Daphnia pulex: one gene and its partner. Each later gene encodes a partner of the first gene's protein in a complex. Links are inferred from orthologs where the notes say so. Each region holds a gene or a part of one and is shown on either strand. Other genes may lie near its edges.

What was found.
Region 2: the proteins of protein unc-45 homolog B-like (region 1) and heat shock protein 83 are in contact, whole or in part, in a crystal structure (PDB 4I2Z), measured with the Caenorhabditis elegans proteins. The link is inferred for Daphnia pulex from reciprocal best matches to the Caenorhabditis elegans genes unc-45 and hsp-90. Residues at the interface, in NP_497205.1 of Caenorhabditis elegans: Arg12, Asn16, Val19, Tyr31, Val48, Arg51, Asn52, Met55, Lys59, Val81, Lys82, Phe85, Arg86, Asn113, Asp114, Ile117; in NP_506626.1 of Caenorhabditis elegans: Ser696, Arg697, Met698, Glu699, Glu700, Val701, Asp702.

What each region holds. Positions count from the first base shown.
Region 1 is NC_060022.1:4,923,915-4,928,462, reverse strand, and holds the start of protein unc-45 homolog B-like, read right to left. Parts: upstream 2,858-4,548; 5' UTR 2,511-2,857; intron 2,437-2,510; 5' UTR 2,425-2,436; coding exon 2,038-2,424; intron 1,976-2,037; coding exon 1,846-1,975; intron 1,773-1,845; coding exon 1,642-1,772; intron 1,577-1,641; coding exon 1,408-1,576; intron 1,344-1,407; coding exon 1,185-1,343; intron 1,122-1,184; coding exon 944-1,121; intron 878-943; coding exon 715-877; intron 657-714; coding exon 537-656; intron 467-536; coding exon 357-466; intron 293-356; coding exon 151-292; intron 52-150; coding exon 1-51.
Region 2 is NC_060026.1:16,238,568-16,242,889, forward strand, and holds the start of heat shock protein 83, read left to right. Parts: upstream 1-1,463; 5' UTR 1,464-1,976; intron 1,977-2,115; coding exon 2,116-2,378; intron 2,379-2,442; coding exon 2,443-2,734; intron 2,735-2,802; coding exon 2,803-3,432; intron 3,433-3,499; coding exon 3,500-4,322. UniProt on the Caenorhabditis elegans protein: Molecular chaperone that promotes the maturation, structural maintenance and proper regulation of specific target proteins involved for instance in cell cycle control and signal transduction. Undergoes a functional cycle that is linked to its ATPase activity.

The DNA of each region.
Region 1 (4,548 bases):
GAGGTTCACCAATGTGGAAACGACTCCGTAAATAACGGAAATGTCTCCAGACTGTAAAATTTACCAAATAACGATTAGCAAATGTAATTTTATTTCATTCAAATTATTAGGAATGTAAAAATTCTGGGTCTCTTTCCGTCCCCCTCATACCTTGGCCACTTCAATTAGCGATTGAAGAGCTTCACGATCCTCAATGAGTTTCTCCTTAACCTCAGCGTCTAATGTCAAGTAGGAGAGGCCTTCAATAGCCCACTTACGCATGTCTTTGTCCTTGGCTGGGTTAATCAAAAATCTACAAAATGGATAACATTCAATTCACTTTGAATTCTCTTACAGACAAAGTGGAGGAAACTCACCTTCGACAAGCTTCGGCCAACTTCATGGTGGATCCGTCGGTGAACGGCTTCCACGACGAATCGGTGCCTCCGCAACTTCCCAATTTGCAGAGACCTACCAAAGCTCTCACCTAAATTTTCAAATTGAATCGAGGTGATTCAATCCATTCATTTATTGCGGTTTTCTACTGAAATACGCACCTTGATGTTGTCGTTGCCGATTTGATAGAGTTTCTTGAGAATGGTAACGCCTTGAGCCAAGATGGCAGAGGCTTTATCTTTTTTAGAAGCGGCGGCGATCAAAGCCTCACAAGAGACACGCTAAAAAAAGACGGTAAACTCTCGGATAAAGAAATCAGTTATGAAAAAGGTTTCTCACCTGCATGAGGAATTCACCACTGTTTGCCATGACGAGGATCATTTCCAAGACACCTTCTTTGCCAATAATGGAACTACCAACATCTAGAGGTCCCAGAAGAAGTGTCGTCACTGCCACCACCACTCGAACTTTGCTATCCATCCCAGGAGTTTGCAATTGTTCGCTGTTTACAAAAAATCAGACGGTGGAATCAAGCTTGTGATTTTTATTCAAAGAGAAAATAACTTACTGGATAAAATCTTCAATCTTTGCACTGAAACGTTCTTTAATTAAGTCGTAGTACATGTTGTCATAGACTTTCCCCAAGGCACAGGAGATGATGGTGCGGGTATTTTCCGTAATTTCCATGGACGATTCGTACTTCATTTCCTCCAATTCACTGGCGATTTGCATCATTCGCTGTAAGCCTATTGAGTAAAAAGATCATGAGTCATCGATTTACTAACTACATTTTCAATTTATAGCATTACCATTAATATCAACGAGGCGTTCGGCCCAATCCAGGGCGCGGTATTCGCAATTCCTCATCATCAATTCGAGAACAGCATCTCGGCATTTGCCAGTGATGGTTCGACTGGTGGAGCAGTAAATCAAACAAGTTAAAATCGTATCAATTTCCTTGCGGTGCGCTGCATTTCCAAAAAATTAAATTAAAAACAAAGAAGCAAACAAACAAACGAAAAACGAAAATACCTTCACACAATTCCTTATTGGGTTGTTTATCGTCTTTCAAATCCAAGCCCGAAATAGTGTTGATCACTGTTTGGACACAATACTGAGCTGCACTGACTTGATCGTCATTATTTGAATTCAGTTGATCAAGAAGCCAAGGGACTCCCAAAAGCTGGAGAATCATTTTGGCCTATACAAAACAAAATAAATAGTAAAAGGAGAAAACCCATAGGGGAACGTGAAAATTTAAATTACTCGAGGCAGATTCCCTTTGCACAATGCACTGATGATGCGGATGCAAGTCACTACAATACTTGGCGTCGTTTCTTTCTTCAACAAAGAATTAATTTTCTCAAAGATTCCTTCCTTGACCAGCAATTCGGCACCTTTTCGGAAAAATTAGTGCAAGCTTATAGAAAAAATTGCATCACTGGAAATGACCATTCAAATAACACATACCGGCAGATTCTTTGGCAAGAACTAAAATATTTGAAGTAGCAGTTTCCCGTTTTTCAACAGTCGAAGAAAAATCAAAGGCAATTTCCATCATTTGAGACACTTTTGTGGTTGTCTGAGCAAATTTTGCCATCTAGAAGGATACAAGTGTTTCTTTAATAACCAAATGAATAAAAATATTTGATTGGAACATACCCTGTCTTGTACAATATCATGGAGCCTTTTCAAAATAGGAGCAATGGCTTTATTCTTTTTATCTAAGTTGTGGACTTGTCTGGCATCTTTGTAAGCCTCTTCATATTTTTCTAAGGCTTCATATGCCTGGCATCTACGAAAAAGGGCTTTGGGATCATCTGGAGAAATTTCCAAAGATGTGGTGCAATCTTTGATGGCAGCTTCATAGTCAGACACTTTCAAGTAAACTGCTGCTTTGTTTTTGAGGAGGACAGCTTTCTCTGGAGTGTCAAGTTCAATTAAATGAAGTGCTTGAGTATAGCATGATAAGGCCTTGTCCCAATCTCCTTCTGCAAATGCTTGATTTCCAGCCTCTTTCAGCCGAATTGTTGGATTATCATTTGTCATTTTCCTAGACTCCTGTTTAAAACAGAAAAGATTCTTAAATACAAGAGCACATGCGATCCACGAGTAAACCTAGCACATCTGCTTACCGTAGTTTCAATTTTACTTGTAGCAATTTTTGTGTTTTCTGTGTGGCGCGCAAGATAATACTAAACGAACTCGTGGAAAAAGACTATGTAAAAACTTCGATGTTTTTTTTTAAATCTTTTTCAGAAGCGAAGAACAGGCTCGAATGTTCAAGAAGGGGGAGATTCTAAATTTACCATTCTATTTACGGTTTGTTAAAAAACACACACCCAAATAATCCGCTGTCAAATTCTTGAATCGTCTGCTACGGTATATAGTTTTAATTCCTTGATTTCTTGTAGCAAGGGCAGATGGCTCTGCTTATAGAATCGGAAAAATCTGAAAGCAGAGCAGACGAAGTGACGAACAACTCCAAAACCAACACTGTTAAACTGAATACTGAAGAGTGTGAAAATCTGTATGTAGGCCTAAATGATTATAACAAGTTAACAACCCTTATCTGGCTGTGGCTACATGCTACATCTTCCTTAGAATTCATTTGTCACCGAAATAAGACTATGATTTCATTCATTTAAAGATATGCTATTAAAAAATAAAAAGAGCTGTATTATATGCCTGAATGGATTCCTTCGAACCAGCAGTCAGTCATGCTCAATTTTTGCATGAGGATGTTTCAACATTTATTTGTACTACAGAGCACCAGATTTCAACTGAAGGTCTCACTGAACGGTAATTTCTAAATATTTGTGTTGATGTTATCAAGGGAACTAAAAACCAAGCTTGAACTGAAATTTTCATGTGCGAGCTGGAAGAAATATTAAATATCTGAATGTATCCTATTACATATTAATTCTTTGACTTTGAAATGTTATGTGAATTTATGTCCTCTAAACATGCAATCTCGTTAAACCGTTTTCCCAATTCCCATATCTATATTCAAATTTTCAGCTTCTTTGTTGGAATCGTTGGTGTTGGGGTTATTCCGAATTTTCCTTCACCCTACCCGAAAATGTTATTGAACCATAGGATACGAAATCATCGTTGGTGTCATTGCCAAAATCAGATAAATTACCTTAACAACATTGCAGCAACAACATACCTTATTAACATTTTTGCAGCTTTTGAGAACTTATCGACTGAGAAACAGTAAAGAGGTTTCTAATAACAAGGACCACAAAGGCACACACATCATGGATTGATGAATTAATATTGAATATGGATTGATCATGTGTTTGAAACAAATAAGGTTGCAGTGGAATATTTTTTAAAAGTCCGACTGTCCTTCAAACGGTTCGAAATGGAAGATTTATTCATTTATCGAAGACACGAGTCAAATGACTCAAATGTCAATGTGAATTTTAAGCCATAACCATTTGGTATTCATTTTTATATTGGTTGTTGTAGATCCATCCCCACCATCGTCAACCTGTAGAAGGAAAGACCAGTTGGCCTGTCCTTCACACTCGAAGGTCACGGAGATCATTACGTAAAACGTGTCATGTGGTGTAGAGGTTGGGTGAGAACGGGACGTGACTAACCATTTGGTATTCATTTTGATTTTGTTTGTTGTAGACCCATCCCCCAGCGACGTCAACCTGCAAAAGGAAAGGCCAGGTAAAACGTGTCAATGTGGTGTAGAGGTTGGGAGACAACGGGATGTGTTATAACCATTTGGTATTCATTTTGATTTTGTTTGTTGTATACCCATCCCCAGCGACGTCAACCTGCAAAAGGAAAGGCCAGGTAGAACATGTCATGCAGTGGTGTAGAGGTTGGGTGAGAACGACACGTGTTTCATCATTATCAAGCAGGTAAAATACCCGCAAGGCTTAGGAGGTGAGGGTAAGAAAAAAATTCGTATAAAAGGAGAGAGAAAAGGATACAGGCATCAGTTGGGTGAGCATCACCGACACGTCAACAACTGTTGTGAACTACCTGTATGGCTGTACCAATTGGCTTCTTCATCGCATTACCAGCTCGCAACAATTGGTAAACATTCCGTTTCTCTACATAGAGTTTTGTATTATTAAGGCTTGAGAATGACTATGGGTTAAAATGCTATTGAATATTAATGTTTAAATATATAATTTGTTTATTTAA
Region 2 (4,322 bases), on another chromosome or scaffold:
TTAAAAGAATTACTCTTACTTGCATGTAACAAAAAAAGCATTTTCTACATTTAACTACTTGAATTGTTATTGACAGTTTTGATTTGAAAATCTCATCTTATTACACAAGCAAAAGTAAGAATAGCTTTCAAAATTTTTTTCAGCCAGTAAAAACTGCTAATCTTTTAAGTTTCCAACTTCCAAACAACGATAAGGATTAAGGAAGCAAAATAATAAAATATACACCAGCAGACAGAAAATGTTTTCCTCTGAACAAAACTTGCAAACAATCTTGCAGGTTTTCTCATTTAATTTTTTCCGATATCTGTTAATTTAGAAATCGATTAATTGATCGTTTGCTAACATCATCAAAGCCTTTTATTTAAAACAATTAATTATATTGTGTTGAAACGTTCATAGATATTTCATGGTTCGTGCATTGTGCGCACTGGTAGTTCTGACACCTGTCACTACTCACCTGTGATAAAAATAATTAAACCAGATGGTTTGAGTTTGACTGCTGGAAGTCCATCTTGCACCACACAGCCTACCATCATCTTAAAATCGTCACACCCTTTGCGACTCATAATTACTACATAAAGTTCATTTACGATTAAAATGTTGGGAGTTGGTTAATGGCAATAAATAACAACAATTGGAGGTCAATTACGCAACGTTGATATGACACACCTTCATTCCTTGATCTCTACAAGGGAATTGGGTTCGGCAACCTAGGCCATTGACATAGAGGAAACCCAACAGAGGAACTCGGTGTGTGTAAACCTGTGTCTAATGCCGCACTGCAGCATTCGACGTTGGGGCCTAAATTCAAGGAAAATATCTGTTTCGATATAAATACGAACAAGTTTCCTGGAAGCCTGGAAGGAAAGAATGATAATTTCTTAGTCAAAATCTCGTTATGAGTCACACGCCATAGGTGAAATTCAGTAAAAACCTTAATGTGAATTCCACAAGATAAAATTGCTCTTGGAGAACTCAATGTCAAGCTTCTGTTTACTTCAAGGCTTTAAAGGGCATTCCTATCTGTCACCTGAATTAAATTGTTTTGCCTGAAGCTGAAGAATTAAAAAAAAAATCTTCTTTATTTTTTTTCTGTACAAAATTTATAACAACAAGAATTTTGTTGTACAGGTTTACAAACTTTATAACTCGTTGTAATCTTATCGACTGAGTGAACAAAAGATTTCTGAAGAAGAAAAACCACGTGGGGTTTACCAGACGTGAGGCTTTCTAGACGTTTCTCGAATCTCGACTCGCTATTACAAAGGCAAAAGGTGAACTATGATTTCACCGTTTCTTACAAGCAAGAATGCATTATTTACGAAAAAAGCAATAATGCAGAAAAAACTGAAACATTTCATTACATGATATTATTAGTCAAAATTAGTAAGCATGTGTCAACTGGTTGGTAATATGATAATCCCAGACCAACTCATACAAACAGATGCATTAGACAGCAGATGGGACTTGAATTGACGGTTAAAAACGGTTACGAACACCGAATCAACGATCCGTCAAAACACATGGTCGGTAGACTCGGTGTCGATTTTTTGGAAAACATTTTAAATAATTCAAAAAATATCAGTAGCCACTCAAAATTCAAATTCCACCAATACTTGAGAAATATACAGAATTTGTGTGAATTTAAAAATTAAAAATAAGGTAAATTGAATGAGTTTGTGTGTAATTGTTTGAAAGCGGCAACACCAAGACTTCCTTCGGTAAGGAACATTCTCGATTTTTCGAGAGAATTCGAACCCCCTCCTCCCCTATGGTTTGTTCTAGTAGCTTCCACTACTACAACGTTGGATTCCCCGGGTCCCTCTTTGATATAAGGCCTCCCTCGTGTTCGACTCTTCACAGTCTTCAACCGGCGATTGAGCGAAAAACATCGCATCTCCACACGGGAAAAACTCTCCACGAGACCATTCTTGCAAACAATCTTGTGTTCTTGTTTAATTATCTTCTAAAGCAAAGTAAGTTTAAAAAATAATTGCTCATTTACTCATTTTTTGATATGCCGCTAGTACAAAAATATTTTGAATTTGAATTATTGAGTCTAATGTACCACGATTGACAAACGTTTCTAACTTAAATATATTTGTCTGTGTTTAGATGCCTGAAGAAGTTCAAATGGAAGCCGAAGCCGAGACTTTCGCATTCCAGGCCGAGATTGCTCAGCTTATGAGCTTGATCATCAACACCTTCTACTCAAACAAAGAAATCTTCTTGCGTGAGTTGATCTCCAACTCCTCAGATGCCCTAGACAAGATCCGTTATGAATCCCTGACTGACCCTAGCAAGTTGGACAGCGGCAAGGATCTTGAAATCAAGATTGTCCCCAACAAGAATGACCGTACCCTCACTCTCAGTGATACGTAAGTTTAGAAGTCAAGTTTTTCTGATTAGAGCAATTATTTAACTGTACTGTGTCTTCTTTAGTGGTATCGGCATGACCAAGGCTGATTTGGTTAACAACTTGGGTACCATTGCCAAGTCTGGAACCAAAGCTTTCATGGAAGCCCTCTCTGCCGGAGCTGACATCTCCATGATTGGCCAGTTTGGTGTGGGTTTCTACTCTGCATACCTGGTTGCCGACAAGGTGACAGTTCACTCCAAGCACAATGATGATGAGCAGTACGTTTGGGAATCGTCAGCTGGTGGTTCTTTCACCATCAAGCCTGATCACGGAGAACCCATGGGTAGAGGAACCAAGATTGTCCTCCACTTGAAGGTATGTTTCTTTGTCTTCGCTGGCTTAATTTCCTGTATGCTAATATTTGTTTTTTCTTTAATTTGCAGGAAGATCAAATGGATTACCTGGAGGAGAAGAAAGTCAAGGAGGTTGTCAAGAAGCACTCGCAGTTCATTGGCTACCCAATCAAGCTTTTGGTCGAGAAGGAGCGCGACAAGGAAGTGAGCGACGATGAGGCTGAGGAGGAAGAAAAGAAGGACGAGAATGAGGAGAAACCAAAGGTCGAAGATGTTGGTGAGGATGAAGAAGCCGACAAGGAAACAGACAAGAAGAAGAAGAAGACCATCAAGGAGAAATACTCTGTCGATGAGGAGCTCAACAAAACCAAGCCCATCTGGACTCGCAATCCCGATGACATCAGCCAGGAAGAATATGGAGAGTTCTACAAGTCATTGACCAATGACTGGGAGGATCATCTTGCTGTCAAGCATTTCTCCATTGAAGGCCAGCTTGAGTTCCGCGCTCTCCTCTTCGTCCCACGTCGTGCACCTTTCGATCTGTTTGAGAACCGCAAACAGAAGAACCACATCAAGTTGTACGTCCGCCGTGTCTTCATCATGGACAACTGCGAGGAGCTCATCCCCGAGTACCTCAACTTCATGAAGGGAGTCGTCGACTCTGAGGATCTTCCCCTCAACATTTCTCGTGAAATGCTCCAACAAAACAAGATCTTGAAGGTAATTTATTCTATTTCTTTTGTCAACATCGTTAACTGAAACTAATTATTACTTTTCTCTACTTCAGGTCATTCGCAAGAACTTGGTCAAGAAATGCATGGAACTTTTCGAGGAGTTGGCCGAGGACAAGGAGAACTTCAAGAAATTCTACGAACAATTCAGCAAGAACTTGAAGTTGGGAGTTCATGAAGATTCTACCAACCGTAAGAAGATCGCTGACCTCATCCGTTACCACACTTCCGCCTCTGGAGAGGACCAGGTTTCCTTCAAGGAATACGTTTCCCGCATGAAGGAGAACCAGAAGCACATTTACTACATCACTGGCGAGAACAGAGATCAAGTCAGCAACTCTTCCTTCGTCGAGCTTGTCAAGAAGCGCGGATTGGAGGTCATCTTCATGACTGAGCCCATTGATGAATACGTCGTCCAGCAGCTCAAGGAATACGATGGCAAGCAGCTCGTCTCCGTCACCAAGGAGGGTCTGGAACTCCCCGAAGATGATGAAGAAACCAAGAAACGCGAGAGCGACAAGGCCAAATTCGAAGGTCTCTGCAAAATCATGAAGGACATCTTGGACAAGAAGGTCGAGAAGGTCGTCATTTCCAACCGTTTGGTCGAGTCTCCCTGCTGTATCGTCACCTCCCAGTACGGCTGGACAGCCAACATGGAGCGTATCATGAAGGCCCAGGCTTTGAGGGATACCTCCACCATGGGTTATATGGCCGCCAAGAAGCACCTGGAAATAAACCCCGATCACCCCATCATCGAAGCCCTTCGCGTCAAAGCAGAGGCTGACAAGAACGACAAAGCCGTCAAGGATTTGGTCATGTTGCTGTTTGAAACCTCTCTGCTGTCATCTGGTTTCTCCCTGGAAGAGCCCGCCGTCCACG